2 linked regions of the Caenorhabditis elegans genome follow. The protein of the gene in region 1 purifies or fractionates together with the protein of each later gene. This does not show direct contact. Each region holds a gene or a part of one and is shown in the gene's direction. Other genes may lie near its edges.

What was found.
Region 2: the proteins of lgl-1 (region 1) and pkc-3 purify together in Caenorhabditis elegans (affinity purification with western blotting, with the first as the bait; 2 studies listed by BioGRID). This does not show direct contact.

Annotation. Positions count from the first base shown.
Region 1 is NC_003284.9:862,426-875,118, reverse strand, and holds lgl-1 (Lethal giant larvae homologue 2 domain-containing protein), read left to right. Parts: upstream 1-4,029; 5' UTR 4,030-4,120; coding exon 4,121-4,207; intron 4,208-4,458; coding exon 4,459-4,696; intron 4,697-5,050; coding exon 5,051-5,161; intron 5,162-5,508; coding exon 5,509-5,747; intron 5,748-5,793; coding exon 5,794-5,990; intron 5,991-6,135; coding exon 6,136-6,290; intron 6,291-6,341; coding exon 6,342-6,526; intron 6,527-7,403; coding exon 7,404-7,634; intron 7,635-7,682; coding exon 7,683-8,175; intron 8,176-8,354; coding exon 8,355-8,612; intron 8,613-8,763; coding exon 8,764-8,996; intron 8,997-9,200; coding exon 9,201-9,354; intron 9,355-9,406; coding exon 9,407-9,513; intron 9,514-9,638; exon of another isoform or gene 9,639-9,762; intron 9,763-9,904; coding exon 9,905-10,042; 3' UTR 10,043-11,022; downstream 11,023-12,693. Other genes in the region: Putative serine protease F56F10.1, read right to left, coding at 328-439, 486-585, 682-898, 1,044-1,152, 1,343-1,478, 1,528-1,760, 2,001-2,188, 2,235-2,364 and 1 more; cdo-1 (Cysteine dioxygenase 1), read left to right, coding at 11,545-11,690, 12,007-12,087, 12,139-12,290, 12,396-12,499, 12,547-12,636; F56F10.2 (F-box domain-containing protein), read right to left, coding at 12,688-12,693.
Region 2 is NC_003280.10:5,376,021-5,387,141, forward strand, and holds pkc-3 (Protein kinase C-like 3), read left to right. Parts: upstream 1-4,006; 5' UTR 4,007-4,007; coding exon 4,008-4,073; intron 4,074-4,480; coding exon 4,481-4,739; intron 4,740-5,016; coding exon 5,017-5,101; intron 5,102-5,150; coding exon 5,151-5,277; intron 5,278-5,439; coding exon 5,440-5,616; intron 5,617-6,287; coding exon 6,288-6,539; intron 6,540-6,623; coding exon 6,624-6,982; intron 6,983-7,028; coding exon 7,029-7,371; intron 7,372-7,486; coding exon 7,487-7,612; 3' UTR 7,613-8,149; downstream 8,150-11,121. Other genes in the region: algn-2 (Alpha-1,3/1,6-mannosyltransferase ALG2), read left to right, coding at 1-358, 411-559, 607-966; Peroxiredoxin prdx-2, read left to right, coding at 2,403-2,420, 2,822-3,197, 3,262-3,473; ccpp-6 (Cytosolic carboxypeptidase 6), read right to left, coding at 8,184-8,356, 8,406-8,527, 8,908-9,032, 9,331-9,417, 9,696-9,807, 9,920-10,161, 10,215-10,428, 10,483-10,580 and 1 more.

The DNA of each region.
Region 1 (12,693 bases):
TTAGACTTTAGAACGACTTTCTAATGCAACTTTTGAATTCCTAAAAATAGGGAAAAATTAAGGGGTGCAAAACTATTAGAGGTGCAAAACTAATTTTCGGTTAGTGATTTTAGATGCAAAACTAATGGAGGTGCAAAACTAATAGAGGTGCCTAACTAATAGAGGAAATATGGTATCTGGAATGATGCAACTCGGCCGGTTTTACAACTTTGGAAATCAGTTGGAATTTAGAGATTCGCAAAAACCTCAATCGATAGCCAATTTCATTACCTGCGTCGGAGACAAAGCTTATGGGTGGGTATTTTTCCATTGATTTTTTGTACTTACATTATAAAAGTCAGCGCCTCCATAGTAGTTTTGCGATTTCTTGTTGCCTCCCATGATTTGACTCATTTTCATACTATCACCAAACATGTCTGTGCACATGTCGATGAATAAGCTGGAAAATTATTTTATGTTCATAAGTATTTTAGGAATAAATTTACTTCAATGGAACTCCTGTTCCGAATACATTATTTCCCTGATTTGTAGTCTGGAGGAATCCAATCTCGTTACAACACAACCACATCCATCCACGAGCGGCAGCTTAAATTTTTGACTTTATTTTGAAATAATCTAGAAGTTTCAACGTTATGCTAAGCTCCCCCTTTTTGATTTATATACTATCGAAAAATGTAATACCTCCATCTGGTCCCAAAACGTTCAAATCTCCGCTTCCCACTTGACTGATCACATCCCAATAACTGTTCGGCATGACAGTGAGATTTGCGCTTGCGGGCTCCATTTGGTTGAACCACAGGAACAAGTTTTCCACTCTCATCACCACATCTGTTTCAGTGGCATTAGTCATAATGTCGCACATTTTGCGGACGGTCTTATCAGAATGTGTGCTGTTGCTCTGAAAGTGTATAGTTAGAGTTGGGTTAATTATGGTTGTAAGCTGTTGATAAATTATACTATTGATCTATTCAATAAGCTGGAATGTATTGTTAAATCAGTTAGGTATGGTTTGGTAAGGTAGATCAAAACGAAAATTGTCTTACCTGTCCATCATAAGTGTACTGAGTCATTCCTTGATAAGTGTTGAAAATATTGCCAAAGAAGTTATTGATATCGAGTTTTGTTGTGTTTGCATCGAATGGAGGTTGAAGACTGAAAATTGGATGCATTTTTTTTTAATTTTGTTATTTTTTAAAGAAAAGTCAAACTTGACTAATTTTGTATCTCCAGAGCTTCCACAATCACATAGAAAACCTAAAGATCCCATTTCAAAAATTGAGCTATTAGTTGAGCACCAGTTTTTTAAAAACTGTTTTGAAAGCTTTTTTTTTAATTAACATACTTAAAATGATTATTCAATGAGTTTCTTCCTTCAGCTGTCAACGCCAGTTTTTGCATTTGAACAAATGCATCTTTAGTAGCCTGAGCACATTTTGGATCGGTTATTCTCAAATCGTCTTCAACAACCATTGCGTACTCTGGAACACTATATATAATTTACAAGTACTAAAAATCTATGTAGATTACCATAGAAATCAAGTTTCAAATTGACAGGAGCACTGCTAGCAACTGAACCCACTGTTAATTGCGGGTATTTTTGCCTGAACCATGCTGCAAGGGAGCCTGGATAACTACCACCAAATGTGACCCATCTTGGATTCTTGAACCCGTATTGTTGATTCATGAACTCTATGAAAAATGCCAAATCGGCGAGGGCTTGTTGAGTGGTTAAATAACGGAGAGAACTCGTTTGCATGTCTCTGAAAAAGAGCACAATTGTTCTTTAATTTTTTAAATGTAGAAAAATATTCCATTTCCCTGATACTTACTTCACATATCTGCTATTTTTTTGAGAAATAAATGCTATTTTTTTGTGAAATAAACACACTTTAATTAACAAGTTGCGCGAAAGATTTTAGGCAATTTTCCAAACCTTACATACTCATTTTTATTCAGAGACTGAACTTAAAAACTTCTCGTTAAAAAAATGCTGCACATACGGAATTGGCCAACTGTCTCCAAAGAATCTGTGCTCCAAATCAAAAACATCGGCTCCGAACTCTTTAGCCCATTGTAGGTACTGAACATTTGGGTTTGCTGCCCATTTTCCATTCTCTGGGCCTTCTCCTCCAATCATTAAGAAAATGATTGAGTTGTTTCTAGAGAATACTGGATTGTAAAAATATTTCTGTAAATTAAGGCAGTTTGAAAAAACTATTCTTTGAATTAATTACCTGATTCCATGTTTTCGTGTTGTATGGATCAAAATGATCCAGCTTCTGGGTGAAATTATGAACTTGCAAATTTGGGTAAGTCTCTTGAATGCTTGCCCCATCAGACGCTGTTAACCGGTCCAAATGGTGACTAGAATTCAAAAAAGAGATTAAATTAAATTTTCATCAAAAAATCTACTTACTTCAACAATGTTTTCCCATTTAGTCTTCCCAAGAAAAATGGAGGTAATTTTGCTTCAATCAGTAAAGGTAGTAGTAAAAGCAATAAATTCCGCAACATTCCTAAATAAAAAAGTTTAAGAATGATATACACCTATACTTTTGCCAAAAAGTGAAAAATGCACAGTTTATCAAGCGGGAATGATTACAAAATCACTATCGTTATCAATTATTTCTGTTTGACTAGTCGCAGATTCGTTTTCAGTCTTTCTAAAGTCATCATCTTGTAAGAAGGAATTGTTGAGAAAAGTAAGAAATTGGAAAACGAGACATTTATGAACAAAAAGGTAATCTGAAAGTTGGTTCCAGTTATTCACTCCGATCCGTGCATGTTTCAGTTTTTGCCGAACATTCCGTCATAAGTGCGGTTCCATGGAAGGCAGGCGCGGTTTCAGGCCTCCAACCTGCCAAGCTTTTGCCTCATTTCTGCATAATTACATGAAGTCAAAGGCTTGATGCTCATTCCACTTAGTGCGAACGGTGGTTCTTCCGCCGCGGCCGACACTTCTTGGGTTCCGCGCCACACTACACAGGAAGCACGGCTCGCGGCGCGAGGCATGCGGTTGTTGTGAAACGGGCGCTGCAGGCGTTTCGTCACCTACGTGAAAGCCCTAAATTGCGAACTTTTTTTTAGGCAAATTCATGATTGGTCAGTAAATACCGCCTAATTAAAATTACATGTATAAACCAGTGTCGATCATTATTTGATTAGTGCGAAGGTTCATTTGGTCAGTGCCAAACTTATCTATGCCAGTGCCAAAATTATTTGGGTCAGTGCGTGCTATTTTTTTTAGCAAAGTCAGAAATTATATGGTGATGTTTATGAGAAAATACAAATTCCGCTCCTGCTAATAAAATGACACTGTAATATCTATTGAATATTCATGATAATAATAAATTCTCCTACCACTGAGATCCCCAAAAATGTTTTATAGCTCATAAAATCCTTCTGCCGCCCATTTTTTAATTTCCGCATTCCCCAGGAGTTAAAATATTCATTGTTTTTCATTAACTGTTTTTTTTCTATAAATATTGATCCCAGTTTTTATATTTTGTTCACTTCAATTTTTTTTCTAATTTTGCCACTTATTTCCCAAATATCAGGACCTTGCCTTTATGTTTAGCAGGCAAGTTCAATTTAATTGAGTCATTGTGTATAACTTAAAAACGCTTCAAAAGTAAACAAAAGTTATGTTTGCTTGTTAATTTGCCATGTACATTAGGTTTGGTTAATTCTAAGTTTGGTCAGTGCAGTAGCAGCAGCAGCTATCTGGGTCAATAGGTACGATAACCTTGAATTACTTGCAATCTGTTCGTGTCCAACACGTTTACACCCTTCGCGCATTTCGCAACACCTGCTAGGGCACCCTATTACCTATCGACCACCCAGCGGTCACTGGTGCGGTTCATTTAGCAACATTCATTCAAATGACTGAGTCACCCCCACCTCTCTTTTCCCTCTCAACCCCACCACAATTGTGCGCAAACAACAAGGGGTGCGTTCCGACTCGGCGTCTCTTCAGTTCACCTGATCTTTTCTCGCTTCTCTCTTTCTCTTCTCCCCGTCCTACTCTCTCGCTTTGGGTCTATTCCTTTCCTTTTTCCGTGTTCACTTATACGGTTCTATGTGACTTTTTTCGGTTTAGACACCTCGAATTTGGGTTAATATGAGCAGCATCTTACGATTTATCCGGTCCAAGTTTTATCACGAACCCGAGGAGCATGCCATAGAACAATATGCGGTTTTCGATGAGGTATGTGTTTAGATTTTGGTTGAACATGTATTTGAAATATTTTGAAACGTTTAAATGTTCTTTTAATTTGCATTAGGTCATCCAGAAAATTTATTTTAAGAATGCTGTAGAATAGCACATAATCAGAAAAATTTTTAAAAAAGTTATACTGGGAACGAAAACTTGTCAAATTTCAACTGAACAATAATTGCCAAATTCGAAATATTTTCTAATTTATTCCCCGCTCATCAGTTCAAAATTATTTATTTTAGGGAAACCGCGGTGGATTCACTTCTGACGTCGTAGCATTTGACTACCACAACGGATGTGTTGTAATTGGATCTAAAAACGGAGAAGTCACATTTTACGGCTACCGAGGAGCTTCATGGACAGTTAGCTTGAGCAAGGACAGTGAGAATAAAGCGAGAATCGAGCACATTTTCTTCATATCCTCAAACATTGCATTGGTTCTTTGTGATGGACAGCTGATTATCCCAATTCATATCAAAGGTTATTTCGTTTTAAAATTATACTAAAATAGGAATGTATGGCAGTTCTTAAAATTTGCCGCACATGCTACAAATTTACAAAAAAAAATTTGATTTCATATTAAAAAATTTGTAGATGAAGTTACTTACTAATAGAAAAGAAAGAACCTAATAAAAAATCTAACGTGTTCCAAGCATTCAGTCAGTAGTAGTAGTCCTACAAAAAAAAATTTTTAAGTCACATTTATCCAAATTTGTTAAGCCTGGCAAATTCTGAAACTTACCAAACGACATGTTTTCAAAATTTCGCCGAACAATTTCGGCAAAATATCGGCTGTAAATTCAATTAAAAGATTTTAAAAATTATATTTTTCAGATGGTGTAATAACAAAAAAGGAGGAACTGCGATTTAACGAAAATCACAAATCAAAATGGGATATAACGCATGTCCAAAAGTTATCAGATGACACATTTGCCCTAGTTTTTTGTAAGTTTTTCATTGAAACTTAGTTTCAAAAAAATTGCACGATGTTGATATAGTTGTGCAAATTAATTTTCAAACTAAAGCGTAAAAGTCTTCCCAGAGAAAAAAAAACAATTAAAAATTGAAAATGGTAAGATTTACAGCAATATGGCATTTCAGTCAAACCAAACTTTCTTTTCAACTTTATCAAATTGACTCCGAAATAAGTGTGAAAAAATATTGAAAAACTGGAAACTAGGTTTACCGTAACAGGAATTTATTTTCAATCAAGCTTCATTATGACGTGAGCAAAACAGAAAGCATTTATGGTTTTGATAGCTTGTAAGTCCAAAAAGTTTCAATTTTTACAGCCATGAATAACACAATATACCGAATCAAATCCAAAACCCTCAAATCAGAAGTTCTCGTCAAAGCTGAAGATTTTGAAAAATGGCTGCCTGACGACACAGAGCTCGCCAGTATAACCTGCTTACCGGAAAAGCCATCAATTTTGATGCTCATTGCGGAAAACGGTTGTGTTGGCGTATTTAACGAATCACAGTTTGTCATGAAGACCAGTCTACGGAACTATGAGGATGAAGCTATACAGGTGTGTTGAAACTTTTTTTTTCTTTTTTTAAATGTGTTCTCTACAGAAACTTCACTGGAGTAGCGAGAAGAAGAAAAATGTAGCTTTTGGCATTTCTTGCAATAATAAATACACAAAATGGGAGTTTACAGTTGGAAAAGACTGTCAGATAAGTGCTCAAGAAGTGAATGTCTACAGTGCGAATCAATTTGGACCCTATCCTTGCCATCAAATTCGACATTTCTCTGTTTGTGCTGATGCGTCGTAAGTTTTCGTTTAAAGTTTTCAAAATAAAGGTTTTGTTTCAAAAATAAAAATAAAAACTCATTTTCATAAAGTCAATTTCATACAAATCGCCTTCTCGGAGTTTCTCTGCTTGGATTTACTATAATTATTTGCCTCATTTCAGGGATCCTAACGAGAACTTCCTCATCTACCAAGGAGGCAAAAGTTCTGGAAAGTACGACGATAGAGATCTGATCACAATTAGCCATGGCGACTTTGTTGAAAAACTGGAGCTCTCATCGGAAATTGTAGGGATTGTTGGTGTCAGTGGTAGTTACGGTACTGAAAATTATTCGAACTATTTTTTTCCTAATTTTGAATATGTTCCAGAAGATTGCAAGAAAAGTGGAGTGGTATTAATATGCACAAAATGCGAGATCATTGGAATCGATTTGGAAAGGGAGTCGTTGAATATGATGCAGCCGAAACATTTTCTTTCGATTAATAATAGTACGCCAACTACCCACTCGAGAGCTATTGAAATTGAGGAAAATGTATGGAATCGTCTTGAATCGGTTAGGTTTTGTTTTTCTTTTTTAACTTTTGGAAAGGGTAATTTCTCATAGTAGGGCAGATAGCTCAGTCGGTAGTGGTGGCCGCTAGCAGTCTGGAGGTCACGAGTTCAAGTCCGGCCTCACCCCCTAGGTTCACCCAGCCTCTATTGGGAAGTGGAGCAATCCACGACTGGATTATCGGCCACAGTCCCCGGCTAGGACGTGACTTAAATTACAGCCCAGAGGGATCACCACCAGGCAGTGTACCTGAATCCCAGATCCGCAGTGCATAGCACTTGAAGAACGGATCGTCCTTTAATCCTTTAATCCTTTTTAATAATAGTACGCCAACTACCCACTCGAGAGCTATTGAAATTGAGGAAAATGTATGGAATCGTCTGGAATCGGTTAGGTTTTGTTTTTCTTTTTTAACTTTTGGAAAGGGTAATTTCTCATAGTAGTGCTAAAATTCGTCATGGTAGTGCTAAATTTTTTATTTGCAAGTTTATATAGAAACATAGAGAAATATTTATACTTTCTAAAAAAATTTAACTTCAAATGCACGTATGTAGAAAATGTTCGAAAACTGCCTAGGAGTCGCAGTGTGCCGCGTAACTGTGCCAACCGGCAAATTGGCTTTTTGAGTCAGTTTTTGAGCACCTTCTCAAAACTTTCAATTAAGACTAAAGTAATATTCAGAAAGTGATAATATTGTTCAGTATGTCTCCACAAAAAAACTTCTATACAACAATGAAAAACTACCTGCTGCTACTGTAGAAAATTCTGAACTTGAAATTCGACAATTTTTACGTTGCGCAAACCTTTTTGACTTGAAAAACATTTTGCATCCTTGTTAAATTTTTATAGTTATTTTAGTCATTTATTATGTTTTCTTCAGGCCAGCAAATCCTATTGGGAGACTAACCAGATGTCAACCAGAGACTGGCCGTTGAACTTTCAAAAGAAGATAGTCACCGACGCGAACCATCAACGAGCTTCTTACCGACAAGTTTATTTGAGTGGTCATTCAAATGGAAATATTTGTATATGGTCTTCCGGTGGAGTTGGAATGTCCTTGATGCTAGTTATCCGCACTTCATTGGAGTTTGACGGCGCATCTAGTTTTGATGTAAGTAACTATTTTAGGAAACAGTGAATATTGTGTGTAAACTTTTAGAACGAAGATTCAAATTACTACAATAGCGACGAGAAACCTGAAAAACCAGTGCGCAAAATTGGCCTCTATGATCCGTTTGATGACGACGAAGAAATGTGTATCACCCGTGTGCACTTTGATCCGAAATCTGGAATTGTGATTGGAACGAATCGAGGTGGCTATGTACTAATGTATGAACTTTGGGATTCTGCGAGAACTCTCACACATTGGGAGGCCACACCGATCAGCTGCAATAATTCTCCGCCAGACACGAGAAAACGAGCGCTAAAGCCTAGGAAAGCAGAATTAAAGTACAATGCGGGTTATCAAATACGGCTTAAAAACGAGAGTGATCTACCGTTGGTGTTCTCAATGCATCCCAGCCACCGAATCACCGATATTGTCTATCTTCACAAGTATCACTGCTTGGCAGTTGGAAGTAACTTTGGAATTGTGATGCTTGATGTAAACTTTGGATATCTTGTCTATGCGAATTCATTCAATGATGACAACAGTGAGTTTTCAGATAATTTGGAAAGAACAAAGTTTGTAGATTGGGGAGTCTGACCCCGGGATGATTGGAAATTGCTAACAATTTTGAAAATTAGCAATTATCGAAACCACCAGTTTTCAAAACCATGAAGCTCGGCCGCCTTTAACATAAAGCATCTTCGAAGTCTACGCTCATTTCAGATGATTCAAGTAATGTCAGTGCCAACCAATTCCAACGATTCAAAAGTCTCAAGAAGTCACTTCGAAAGACGTTCCGACGAAAAAAGAAGGGCACTGAAACATTAATGGATTCAGGAGGTGCAGTGGCTTCATCTTCAAATCATGTGCAGCATGAGACAAGTCCAAAGCGAATTGACGATTTTGAAGAGGAAGAGGTGTTCATGGAGAGACCAATTGAAGCAAGGGAAGAGCTGGGAGTGCTGGATTGCTATGCTGAGAGTAAGTGGAAATCTGAAACGGGGTTTTTTGAAGTGCTCATAGATTAGGTGAAAAGCCTTAAACGTGGTCACATGCTTTTCAAAATCTTCAAATCTTCTGAATAAAAATCAAAAGCAATTCCTATCTCACCCTGAAATTTCAATATTTCCAGATTCCAAAGGAACCGTAACATGTCTCCGAATGATGCGCTTTCCGGTGCTCGACGACAAAAATGTAGATGACATTATAGCTGTGGGGCTCCACGAAGGCTCTGTCTACTTTTACGCAATCAGCGAACATGATGTTGGACTAAGAATGACGTTCAAAGCGGAACAGATTAAGAAACTCTCGATTCCTCACAAGCAACCGGTTGTTAATCTAGATATCACAAATGAGGAAGGATATGTAAGTTGAGATTTGGAGTGTGAATGAAAAAGAGTTGCAAAATTGCCAGTTTTTAGTTTATGCGAATGTAGTCAAAATTCTAGAATTTTTCGTGTCTCCCATGTGTTTTTTTTTCAAATTTCCCGGTGCGCGACTCCGCGGCATTAGCGTATCCCCAGTTAACTCCGTGAAATTATTCATACTCAATTTATTTGGTTATTTCAGTTCTCCGCATCCACTCGAATCGTCGTCATCACCGAGGAGCAGCTGCGAATCTATAATTGTCAGCCGATGGTGAAACGCGACAGTTATAAGATCACTGCGCTGGAAGGGCTGAAGATCAAAAATGGAATGGTGGCTAGGATATTGAATAAAAAGAGTGAGATTTCCTGAATTTGAAAAAAAAACATTTAATATGAATTGAGATTCAGATTCCAACAATTTCGAATCATTTGTGGTTTTGGTAGCAAACGATGGAAGTCTACGGGTTCATTCTGTTCAAAAAGCTTCTTCATTTGAGTCGAGGAAGTTTATAGACGTGAGTAAAGACAGAAAGGTCCCGCCAGGAACCGTTTTATACGATTGTAACTACGTATCTGCCACTTAGACGCATTGAAAGTCTTTCAAGCAACAAACATTTTTATTGACACATTTTTCCGTCCACCTCCGTGCCGTCGATAGCTCAGTTGGTAGAGCGGAGGACTGTAGAGTCAGCAGGTATCCTTAGGTCACTGGTTCGAATCCGGTTCGACGGATTTCTTTTTTGTTTTTGGTTGTTTTTTAAGCCAGCCGCTAGCACGCGCCAAGTGTGCACGTGTTGCCTTCTGAAAATTCTGAAAGGTCAACGCATAGGTGGCGCTGAGAAGTGGTTAAGTTTCCTGCACAATGTCTAATTTTGCTTTTCTCCGTTCTAAACTAGAATTTTTCAGCCAATCGACGTAATGGCACTAAACTCGAGTTGTTTATCACGTGATGGTGACGTGGCATTCCTCATCAAATCCTCCGAACTACAGCGAAGTACGGTGAATTTGAACTTTCGCGGTTGGAGCAGTACGCACAAGTCATAGATGCATTTTTTTTAAAAATCGTTTTCCTGTTGATATATATTAATTTTGTTTGAAATGGTGGTTTTTTTTAAACTTTATTATGTTATTTATTTGCCCTCGGTCTTTGCCTTTTTTGTCAATATATACGTTGCGTATGAAAAACTAATTTTAAACGATTTTTAATTTTTGAAACATGCTACACTATTGCAGGCGATTAGAGAAAATGGAAAAATTCGTATTTTTTGTACGTTTGGAAAAATTGAAGAATCTATAATTTCTAGGAGAGTGTTTCTTTAATACCTATCAAATCTAATTTTTAAAAATAAAACTTTAAAGATTGTCAATAGTTGCCTCTTCAAAATTACTAGATGCCTGTACATAACTCCCTTCCAGATCGATCTCCAATTTTCAAAACTTCAAGAACGGGAAGTCCCGATATTACTGTAAACTACAAAAATGCCTTGCTTACGTGACAATTGCAAAGGTTTTGTCTGATAAGATAAGATATTAGTCGACTAACGCCATCAGTTTCACATCAGATGACGTCATTTCCAAACCACGCCCCTTTGTAACGGTAACTTGTGATAACACTAATCACCTAATAAATACTGAATCTGATCAGTTGGATTTCGAACTTCTAAAAGTTTAAATGTTCAACCTAACAAACAAAAAATTATTTCCAAAAGAAGAAAAAACCAGAATCTCACGTGGCAGACATAGACATACAGTTTATTTTTCGCAATGCTTTGCCGATCTTTTTCCGATTCTATCTTTTTTCTCTTGTTTCCACTCATTAAGTGTCACTATTAATTCAATCTGTCGTCGTTTTCATATTTTCTTTCACAAAGTATCTCCTTCTCCCTTAACTGTTAACGATGGTCGATTAGCGATTTCTTATTGTAAATGACTGGTTTTGTCACGTTGTGTTCCCCTTCGCATTTCGCCGTTACTTGTATGTGTGACTACTGTAATTGTAACTGATAACATTTTATTATAAAGTTTTTTAGATTTTGAGCTTGTCAGTCTAAGTGTATTGTGTACAGTTATATTTATTATCTAACAGGATTCCTAGTGATTTTTATGATGGTTAGTCCTTAACGTTTCTTGGTCAGTGCATATCCATTTTTGGTCAGTGCATATCTATTTTTGGTCAGTGCATATCTATTTTTGGTCAGTGCATGTCTATTTTTGGTCAGTGAATATCTATTTTTGGTCAGTTCACAAAACGAGTATCATTATGCATGTGAGCCTAAAAAACCGTGTTCTGCAAATTTGGTAACTATCATATCAATTTTTTCCGATTATTCTGAACATTCGAAACATTGATAGGATTATTGTTCCCCAAGCTTTTGGTGGTTTACTAGAAGTTGTTTATTCCTATTGGAGACGTCTAAGAAATTATGATTCGTATTATTTCATTACTTTTTTTCAGTTAGTAAATTTTCTTTAGGAGTTTATTTATTTTATTTTCAACTTTTTTTTTATTTACTATTCAATATGACAACATTCCTGTTTTCAGAAAAATGATATCATTTGTTCAGTTAGTTGTTCAAATTCGTGAAATCTTCCAACAGAAATTGATAGATGTTGACGAAGTGATGAAGCTGATGGCTTCATACAAAAGCAACGCAAATGAGTGGCGAAGATTTGCCATTTTCGATATGAACAAGTGAGTGCTGGTTTGTTCCAGAAAAAATTGAAATGCATTTTTGGGGGAAGATGAGATTACAGACTAATCTACTTTTAAGATCTGCGTAATTTTTAGAATTCTTCGGAAATTATGAATGATCGTGATGTATTATATTGGTGTTTGGTTCTGTTAAAAGAAATATTGAAAATCTTAACATTTTTACCAAATTCATAAAATTAGAAAACATTTTTCGAACAATTATTTAGCAGAGGATGGTGAAAATAGAACTAGAACAGTATAAATTCAAGTCAGTTTGGTAAAAGTCTTTTCACGAAAATTTACTATTTTTTTACAGATACACAAGAAACCTAGTGGATGTTGGAAATGGAAAGTACAACTTGATGATTTTGTGTTGGGGCCCCGGTATGGCTAGCAGGTACGTTAACTGAGATTTATCATCATATAACATTCATTTTACGAAATTTAGTGTTCACGATCATACTGATGCTCATTGCTTTGTGAAAATTCTTGATGGAGAGCTCACTGAGACCAAATATGCCTGGCCAAGAAAACGACACGTGCCACTTGATATTTCAGAAAATAAGACTTATGGAATGAATGGAGTTTCCTATATGAATGGTAAGATATTTGAAAACACTTAATGCATCTGTCTTTTACAACATGGTTGCCTAAACTTGAAAACAATGCTAGGAACATAATAACAACTTCATTGCAATTTTTCAGATGAGCTTGGTCTTCATAGAATGGAAAATTTGAGTCACTCAAACGGAGCTGTCTCTCTTCACTTGTACATCCCTCCATATAGTACTTGCAATGCATTCGATGAGGTTAGTCAATCGGCGAAGGCTTTTAATATTTTTTGAATATATTTCAGAGAACCGGAAAGAAAACGCAATGCACCGTCACATTCTACTCAAAGTACGGCAAGAAAGTTGACTACAGAGGATCTAAGAATGGCAATTAAACAACATATCCCTCAATGTAATAACGTGTTGATTCTTTATTATAATCTTCATTAACA
Region 2 (11,121 bases), on another chromosome or scaffold:
AAGGCAAAACTCGTATTCTATTGTCATTTCCCGGATCGACTTTTAACGAAACGTGATGGAAATCTGAAAGCTTTCTATAGAAATATTATTGATTGGATTGAAGAGTACACAACTGGACTTGCAGATGTCATTTGTGTCAATAGTAATTTTACAAAAAATGTGGTTCGTGAAACATTCAAGTCACTGGCATCTCAGGAGCTGACCGTACTCTATCCTTCGTTGAACACCGAGTTTTTCGATTCGATTGAAGCTTCGGATGATTTTGGTGAAGAAATTCCACGTGGTACCAAATATGTTTTCACCTCACTGAACCGATTTGAACGAAAGAAGAATATCGTTTTGGCTCTAGACGCATTCGGTAACTTTAGATTTTATATTTTTAAAAACCTGTGTAATAAATTATTTTGCAGAGAAATTGAAATCGAATCTTCCTGCCGACGAATTTTCGCAATGTCATCTTGTTATTGCTGGCGGATATGATTTGAAAAACCCAGAAAACATCGAACACTATGATGAACTTGTTGAACATATGAAGAAACTGGAGCTCCCAGCTGATCAGGTAATAAATACGAATTTAGCAAAGTATAAATTACTTTTAAATTTCAGATCGTATTTCTCCACTCACCATCTGACACTCAAAAAGTAAATCTCATTCGGAGAAGTCGTGCGGTACTTTACACGCCTGATAGAGAACATTTCGGAATTGTTCCAGTTGAAGCAATGTACTTGGGAACCCCAGTAATTGCTGTTAACACTGGAGGTCCCTGTGAATCGGTTCGGAATAATGAGACGGGATTTTTGGTTGATCAAACGGCCGAAGCGTTTGCTGAGAAAATGATTGATTTGATGAAAGATGAGGAAATGTATCGAAGAATGAGTGAGGAAGGTCCGAAATGGGTGCAAAAAGTGTTTGCATTTGAAGCATTTGCAAGAAAGCTCGACGAGATTATTCAATCTACGCTTTAATTAATGTTTTTTCTTGAAATTTGGGTTTTAAGCGTTTCGTTTTAGAATCGCCAGTGTATTTTTTGTGATAGTCCTATGTGCTTTAAATTATTTATTTTGAAAGGTTCAATAAATTATATTTTATGACCGAACACATTATATTCTCAGTTGTTATCTTATATATCCACACCGGAATGTTGAATATCTGACCATATATATTTAGAATGTTGCGGTAATTTTTTTGTTGCTGTGGAATTTTATTTTATTTTTATTTTTCATAGTTTCAACATTTTACAATTTATTGAAATTTATGGGTTTTAATTGTTATATTTGGCGTTTTTCGTTTACTTTTTCGATAAAAATAAATTCAGTTAAAAACTAAGTTATAACAATGAAAACACATAAATTTGAACAAATCGTAGAAAAATCACTACAAATTTGACAGATTTTATGGGTTCTATCGCGATTTATTGAAATTAACGTCTTTTAATTGTTTTATTTTAGTTTTTTAGATAAATACTGTTTTCAAACGAAAAACTTTGAAAAATCGATAAATCTCGCAGTACTCCTGAAAGGCACACACTCGTTTGTACTTAAGAAAAATTGTCGCGACGAGACCAACTGTCCAACTACGGTAGTTTTCAAAATACGCGGTTCACCGCAAAGTCAAATTGCGGACCTGAACATTTTTTTATTTTTCCCGCAAACTTTTTTTTTCAATTTTGCCTAAAGCGCTCGAATAAACATGAAAGTCTCGTGTTTCCTTCCATCCAGACCTCTCATTTTTCAATTTTAAAACTAAAAGCACTTTTTGACCTACTTTTTGTCGCAACCGCCAAAACTCGCTTCCAGAATTATTCCCTTTTTAGGATTTTCGACGCAACATCTCCAACCGGTTAGTTTTTTCGCAGATTTTCTCGCATTCGCGTAGTTTCACTTGTTTACTTCGTGGCGCCTCGTTTTTTTCCGCTCTCTCGTCTGACCACCTTCATATTTATTGATCTGCGCCTAGCGGCGCCCGTTGAAATACTCCACATTTTTTTGCAATCTTGTCTGCGAGTTCAGGTTATTTTCGACTTTTATGAAAGCTTGCTAGGAAGCCATAGCAACCGGGGAAGAATACGCTAGCCAAATGAGAGATAGAATCGATCAGCTAAATTTAAGATAAATAGTGAATTCGAATTCTAAGACCTGCTCGACCAGCTGAAATTCTAAAACTCTGCGCCAAGATGTATAGACAGGTAATAATATTTGAATTTTCTTTAAAAGTGACCTTGAACCCTAAGATTTTCGCTCCTCCTAAACGTTGTAGTCTGTTACTCCCTGCCGCGACAATTGTCAGCAAAAATCGCGTCACATGATGATGAAAGTTTGTGGCAATGTTATAAAAAGACTGACCTTATTTCGTTTCTTGGAAGATGCAAAGAAATGTTTATTAAAAATTGCAGTGTGAAATCATGTCTCTCGCTCCAAAGGTGCATTTCTTATTTGTTTTTTAAAAATATATTTGGTTACTTAGATATTAATTTAAATCACGGAAAAGTTTAAACCCCTCGATTTCTGTTATTTAACATGATCACTCACTTTTATAACAATTAATTTGGTTTTTCAAAGATGTTCCCAGAATGTTTTATTAGTTCTCATTTCGTCCTCCGATTTTTTTTCTTTCGTCGCTCTCCAATTTTGCCAATGTATTTCATTCCCATTAGATAAGCACCGCCCGTCACCTTATTCTCCTTCTTTTCACATTGCAAACAAATTCGTTGCCGTTGGGTTTCAATATCCTTTTCATTTTTTGTCGTATTGTTGTTCTTGTGATTGTGGTTGTTATTTTATCGCGGTATTATTTTTTTTTGTTAAACTAATTAATTTTTAGATGTCGAAAGCATTCATCGGAAAGCCAGCTCCACAATTCAAGACTCAAGCCGTCGTTGATGGCGAGTTCGTTGATGTTTCGCTCTCTGACTACAAGGGAAAATACGTTGTGCTCTTCTTCTACCCACTTGACTTCACTTTCGTGTGCCCAACCGAGATTATCGCCTTCTCTGACCGTGCTGAGGAGTTCAAGGCTATCAACACCGTTGTGCTCGCCGCTTCCACCGACTCTGTCTTCTCTCACTTGGCATGGATCAACCAGCCACGCAAGCACGGAGGACTCGGAGAGATGAACATTCCAGTTCTCGCTGACACCAACCACCAAATCTCCCGTGATTACGGAGTTCTCAAGGAGGACGAAGGAATTGCTTTCCGTGGTGAGTTATATTCTGAATGGAATCCTTCATATTTTCGTACTTTATTTGAAAAATAAAATTTCAGGACTCTTCATCATCGACCCATCACAAAACCTCCGTCAAATCACCATCAATGATCTTCCAGTCGGACGCTCTGTTGATGAGACTCTTCGTCTTGTTCAGGCCTTCCAGTTCGTCGAGAAGCACGGAGAGGTTTGCCCAGCTGGATGGACTCCAGGATCCGACACCATCAAGCCAGGAGTCAAAGAAAGCCAAGAGTACTTCAAGAAGCACTAAATGTCTTACATCTCTAATTTCCCCCGTATCCCTAGTATTTATCTGAACGGTTTATTTATACTCATTTTTCATTTTGATACTGAAATTCTGAAATTCATGAAATTGCTTGATAACCGTAAAATAAACTCGGTATTCGAATATAACTGTTTCTGTTCAGGAACAAACAATATGTGTCGAGACTCTCTCTCTGTTACTTTTTTGTCACTTTCCTAGACCGCCCGTGTTAGTCGGTGCGCGCGCATCGTCGTCCTGTACAGTGTTTGTGAGGGTCACCTGTGATTATTCATTTCTCTATGCCTCTTCAAAGCTGGGCCGCTCTCACTGACCTGTACACTTGGACAAAATGGGGGTGTTCGATAGAGCGTCAATGCATATATAGCTATAACAGTGTGTGTGTGTGTATGTGCATGTTTATTCATGAGTCATTTTTCCCTTTTTTACTCTAATACTGCCAACTCGTCACTGTTTCAGTTTCGCAGTTTTCGTTCAGAACTCCTTTTTTTGAACCGTTTTTAGTTCAATTTTTATTTCAGAATGTCGTCTCCGACATCATTAGAGGAGGACGGAGATATTAAGCTAAAAACGAGGTTTCAAGGACAGGTGAGATATGAAAAGTGGCTTTTGAAATGCTCAAAAATCGAGAAATACCCTAAAAATGAATTTTTCGTTGCAGTGAGAATGTGTAAATCATTTCGCCGTCAATGCGAAATTTTAGTTTGTCAAAGCTTTAAAAATTCGTAACAGAGAGAAAATTCCAGACAAAAAATAGAAAAAGACCGTGATAACCGAATAAAACTGTAAAAAATTAATTTTTCTGAACTTTTAATGATTTGATTAATAGTGTTTAAAACTTAAAAAGCTCTTTTCCGGCTAAAATTAAAAAAAAACAACCACTGATTTTTTAAAAATTCTGCAAAATTGAAAAATAATTTTTGTTACTGTATAACTTTTTTTTTTTAATCTGAAAAATTCCAGACTCCCAAATTTTAATAAAAATTAAATTCCAGGTAGTAGTACTCTATGCTCGACCACCGCTCATTCTCGATGACTTTTTTGCACTTTTGAAAGATGCTTGTAAACAACACAAAAAACAAGATATTACTGTAAAATGGATTGATGAAGATGGAGATCCAATCTCAATAGACTCACAAATGGAACTTGATGAAGCAGTTCGATGTTTGAATTCTAGTCAAGAAGCCGAGTTGAACATTCACGTTTTTGTTGGAAAACCAGAGCTGCCCGGGCTTCCGTGTCAAGGAGAAGACAGTAAGTATCATGAAGCTATCAGAAAAATTATTTAGAATTTCGAAAAAATGTGCGCCTTCAAAGAATACTGTAAAGCGGAATTTCTATCAATTTTTATAAAAAGATTGAAATGAAACAATTAGAAACACATAAATTTTGGAATTTTGGAAAATAGATCAAACTTCCGCAGTTTGAAACTACAGTAATCTTTAAAGGCACACAATTTCTCGCGTTTAACAAGAAATTTGTCGGAGGAAAAATCGGAAATTTTCGAGTCTGAGAAATGTTTTTTTTCCAGAAACTGTATATCGAAGAGGTGCTCGACGATGGAAGAAAATTTATCTGTACAATGGGCATCGATTCCAAGCGAAACGGCTGAATCGGTAGGTTTTTTTTTCTGATTTACAGCCTCCGGAGCTTCTTTCTTTTCAGCCGTATTCAATGCTTTATTTGTCATGACTACATATGGGGAATTGGACGGCAAGGCTTTCGATGTGTGGATTGTCGTTTATGCGTGCACAAAAAATGCCATCGGCATGTGCGAACGCATTGTGGTCAGGTAATTCTTTTTTTTTGTAGCGAGGATAGCTTCTAAATTATTCCAAAATTTTGAAACTAAGACCTCCCAGACTTCTGTTTTTCAATTTTTACAAATTTCTGTGCAAAACAGGTTTAAAGCTTAAATTTTTAAATTCCTCATAAAAATCTAAATCATTTTCAGGCTCTCCAAGGCCCGAATATTATCCCAATGGCTCCTGCAAGTGGTTCTCTAAAGGGTGCTCGATCGAATACAAGCTCATCTACAACGCGGTCGGGTGGAGGAATTGATAACGGAGCATTCCACGAGCACGAAATCGAATCACCCGGATCCACGAGTCATGATGCTAGCAGAGCTATGGTAAGCTTTTGAAGTTGGAGCCAAAATTTGAAATAAAATATATTTGAAATTTGATATAAATATCTTTGTCTTCACGTCTCCGAGGGATCGTAATAAATTTAATTTAATATTCAGAAAAGTTAATTTTTTTTGAAATTTATTAGTTTATTTCCAAAAAAACATAACTTTTATTTAAATAAAACCATCTGAAAAGTCTCAGATTTACAATAGCTGAAAATGAAATAACTCTTGTTAAAAAAAACAATTTAAATTGGAAAGTCTTTGAAATAGTGGTAGTTAATTGAAATATTTAATTAAGTTTAATCCAAAGTTCAATTAAATATTAGGTTCTTCCTGTTGCAATTTCAATTTCAAATTTCTAGATACGTGATATATGTAACTCTTGAAAAACATTCTAGATTTCTAGACTCAACTACATTTTTTTGTTTTTTTTTGGATGAACAAGTTTTTGTAGTTTCACTCTTTCTCTTGCTCTCAAAATTTTTATTCATTTCCAACCACAATTCCCTTCCTCGCTGCGAATTCTGATTTCTTCCTGATATCAAAATATTTTAATATTTCAACGTATGGCACTTTTCTGTCAGTGCTTCCCAGTATCAGATAAAAAGAAACGGCGAAAAGTATTTTTAAAGTTACATAGATTCAAATACTAAAATTTTTTAATATTTCAGAATGGAAATGGGTCGTCAAAATGGGCAGTTTCTCTGAACGATTTCCGTCTTTTAACAGTTATTGGACGTGGATCTTATGCAAAAGTTGTGCAAGCAGAACATGTTTCAACTCGTCAAATTTACGCGATAAAAATTATCAAAAAGGAGATGTTCAATGAAGATGAAGATATCGATTGGGTACAGACGGAGAAGTCAGTATTCGAAGCAGCGTCAAATTATCCATTCCTTGTTGGATTACATTCTTGCTTCCAGGTTGGTAACTTTCTTTTTCTTCGATTTTTTCAAATCTCAAATTTTCGCATTAAAAATTTTAAACCAAAATTTTGATAATTTCAGACCGAATCCCGCCTGTTCTTTGTCATCGAATTCGTTCCTGGAGGTGATCTGATGTTCCACATGCAACAGCAACGGAAGCTTCCAGAAGAGCACGCTCGATTCTATTCGGGTGAAATAATTCTTGCTCTTCATTTCCTTCATTCTCGCGGAATCATTTATCGTGATCTCAAATTGGACAATGTTCTGATTGACGCTGAAGGACACATAAAACTGACAGATTATGGAATGTGTAAAGAGAATATTAAGGATGGAGATTTAACTTCAACTTTCTGTGGAACACCCAATTATATTGCACCAGAAATATTGAGAGGTGATGAATATGGATTCAGTGTTGATTGGTGGGCATTGGGAGTGTTAATGTAAGCCTTTTTTGGTTGAACATTTATTTTATTTAAATCGTTTTAGGTTTGAAATGATGGCTGGTCGATCTCCATTCGATATTGTTGGAATGCAGAATTCCGAGGAAAATACAGAAGATTATCTTTTCCAAATCATTCTTGAACGACAGATTCGAATCCCTAGATCACTTTCTGTACGGGCTTCTGGTATTCTAAAGGGATTCCTGAACAAGGATCCAACAGAACGTCTGGGATGTAAGCTTGACATTAATGAAGGTCTTCGTGATATGAAAGAACATCAATTCTTCCGTGGATTCATTGATTGGGAAGCTTTGGAACAGAAGGCTGTCGCACCTCCATATCATCCAGCTGTGGAAAGTGATCGCGATTTGACACACTTTGATCATCAGGTAATTTTAATTTCTTCAGAACTTAACTTTAAAAAAAAATTAGTTTTTGTTTACTAATAAATTATTGAATCAAAATATTTTAAAACTAATTCAAAATGCTTGTTTTTTTTTTCAGTTCACCGACGAACTTCCACAATTATCACCTGACAATCCAGATGTTATTGCACGAATTGATCAATCAGAATTTGATGGATTTGAATACGTGAATCCTCTACAAATGAGTCGGGAAGATTCAGTCTGATTCCCCCACCATCCCCCGAGTCCCAAATATTTATTTTCTTCGGTATACTTTTTTGTGATTTTTATTATTATTCTCGAATCCCATCTCCTTCGCCCACTGTCTTATACGATACTATGACACACTAACTCGTGGCATAATCAGTATCCTAACTTATTTTCTTTTTCTCAACATCTGTTATACATTTTCTCGCAACAATCACTTCTACTCGTCTTGTGGTATCTTACAATCCCGAAAAGGTTGTGATTTTTTTTGGTTTCTGTTAAAATCTAGACTATTCATACTTGCTAGGAATACCTAATGCTTGATGACCTCCCCTTCTAAATACACCTTCTTGTTACTTTTCTTGTCAGCTCATTCATTTCCCTGAAATATATGTAAAATTGCGGCGAAGACTACGATCAATGTAGTCTCTTCGCCATCTGACACTTCTTTTGTGCCACGTGTGGAACTCGATTTAACTTCAATTCAATTTACATGTTCTTCCATTTGACCACTTCCCTTACTTATTTATTGACAAACAAAAAAAAATTGCATTTCAATGGTCTTTATCAGTTCTAATGTGGGCGCCAATTCATTTCATCATCACAGTCTGAATCACCTTCCTCGCTTGCTTTTTCAAAGTTTTCTGGGCGCGGGCGGGTAGAAAAGTCTTAAAGGGACGTTCGAGCACAATCTCTCGTAGTCCACAGTCGGCTTCATAGAAGTTGAGAAGTGCTCTGCAAAATGCCTCGCCGAGAGCTTCATCTGAAAATTGAACCAAGTTACAGTAGGAAATCACTGAAAAAAAACCTACATTTATATTGAAGATATGGCGTACAATGTTGTATTCCATTTCCAGAAGAGTCTGTATGGCGATAAGAGAAGAATGATACTTCAAGTGTATAGCAAAGGCAGGAAAGTAGATCTCCCATCGTTCTGAAAAGTTATGAAGGGTCCTGACACGACTGGCATTTTTCTGCTACAGTAACCCAGCGTGTTTTTCTCAACTCCGTGTTTCCCAATGTATTCATTTTGAAAATATGCATATATTTTCTAGAAACATCATTATAAAACCACACAAAATATTGAGAAAATGTTGCAAAATAGAGATTGAAAGTAAAAGGTACTGTTGCTGGAAATGTTCACTCACGCCAGGACCCACAGTCGTGTTTTTGCACGCAGATACTACGGATGACCATGTGAGAAATTACTAGCTATTGCAAAATTCATATCGTGGCAAGACCCATCAAATTAAAATCACGACTATTCGAAATCCATAATAAATTATTCGTTCCCTTCCATATAAAAAATCTCACCTTCTGCCAGTACCAGCCTTCTCCACATCCGTGTTGAATTGAGTGAACTCGAGCGAATAATCTTCGGAAAGATCTGCCAGCAAATGCGGAAGCCATAACTGCCGGAAAGTCGATTTTTCTTCGACCGAAAATTAGAAAAAAATGTTTCAGAAAATTTAAATTTTGTGGTCATTGCAAAGTTGAGCGAAACTATGAAAAGATTAGGGTTTAAAATTGTGAAATGCTGTAGATAACTGCTAAGTTTCGGTAGTATCAAGACCGGGTACTTTGTTTAAAATCGCTAAGTTCTTCAATCGGCTAATATCGGGTCTCGCCACGGACAAAATATTTTCAATAGTTGCTGTACCCCTTCAAGAAATACAGTAACTCATAACTGATTCTTGAAGTTGCCCGAACCAATTCACAAAAAAATTCACAACTTACAGCTGACATATTCACATTTCCATACAAAAAACAATTTGGCTTCTGAGAATGGGCATGTAGATCAACGTAGATTACAGTTTGGGCTTGCTGAAATATTCAAGAACAGATCCTAAAACTTCTACAAATTATTGATTCATTTATTCCTAAAATTGACACATAACAGTGAGCATGGCAACTTTCCCACAATGTTTCAATTTAACCATAGTCTACAGTAATCTAGGATTTTGATCGCTTCGAGATACAGTCAACTTGAATGTATCATGGGAATTGCAAAAAAAAATTGATGAAAATGCTCAAAAGTCCTACAAAACACTGAATATGTATATCGATAAATTCCCAATATCGATAAATTTAACAGCTCTCACCGGATTATTATCATATTGCGTCAGTAAATTCTTCACAGCATAAATTGAAGGATGAGCCCAATCTGAAGGGGTTCTCCACATTCTATTCAAGTCATGACCCATTAGAGAACATCTGAAATGACCTTCTGATAAGGTAGGCACTGTAGGTAGGTACGCCTTTATGCCTGGGCCGAGAGGTTGTTGGTGACGAGGAATGCCTACCTAGGCTGTTTGCAAAAAGTTACCTATAATTTCCGAGAAAAACGCCATCTGGATTAAGCATTGGAATAATTTTGAAACAATAAACTTTTCTCAACTTCTGTGCTCGATCATCTTTGGAAACAAGAAATTCAATAATTCCATGCATAACATGACTACTCGGTGACTCTCCAGGATGAACTCGCGCAGTTAGAAAAATCATTTTCTTGGATCCTTGGAATGTGTCAGGTGTTGCATCAATTGTTATCAAGTCGACACGACGTTTTTGCTGAATTATTTTCCAAAAAGTTTCAGACTATTCCATGAATATTTCCAATTTACCACAGTTTGAACCAAAAGATCTCTATGAAAAAATGGGTATTTTCTGGATTCCAACTCATTCAACCATATCTGCATTTGTCCATAAGTATACGGTATACAGTATGCAAATTGAACAGGATCTGGTGATTCAAATATGAAAGCAAATGAAAGAATCCAACGATCATTGTGTTGGGAACTACGGTAGTAGTAGATATGGCGAGATGGGATTCGAGCCCTAAAATGTTGAAATGGCTCTTTAAAATAGAAAATCGAGGGGTTTTCATCATACCAACTATTTTGAGCATTTGATTTGACTACAGGTGCTGCAATTCCCATTTCGAATAGTGTTCTTTGTTTTGAAAAGTTCACAATATTGAAGATCGCCCGCTGAAGAATTTGCAAATTTGATAATAAAATTTTAAAGTTTAAACTGCATAATTACACTAATTTTCAAATAGTACCCAGTCAAAAAGGTGTGCGCCTTCAATCAATACAGTAACCGCCGGTAACTTTCAAAACGAGGAATGGGTTACTGTATTCTTAAAGGCACACACCTTTTAGCGCGGAAAATAGAGTACTGTAGCTAGGAAAAAAGTTGTCTCAAAATGTTCTCCCCGAAAATAAAGAACATATTTAGGTATACTGGAAAATTCGTAAATATTTCAGAACCATGGCCATTGCAGAAAAAAACTGAAAACCTACAGTAACCCGTAGGGTATTGAATTTTTTTAAAAATCGCTGCGAGACCCGACGTTTCCGCCTCAGATCCAGTTTTCGAATATCAATAATAAATACAAATTCTTCAAACATTTACCTGATTTTCAGATGCATTTTTGCATTCAAAATAGAACCAAACTCTATATTTATTATTCAAAGTGTCAGGTCGAATGAATAAATCATATTCTGAACAGGAAACTTTGTCGACTCG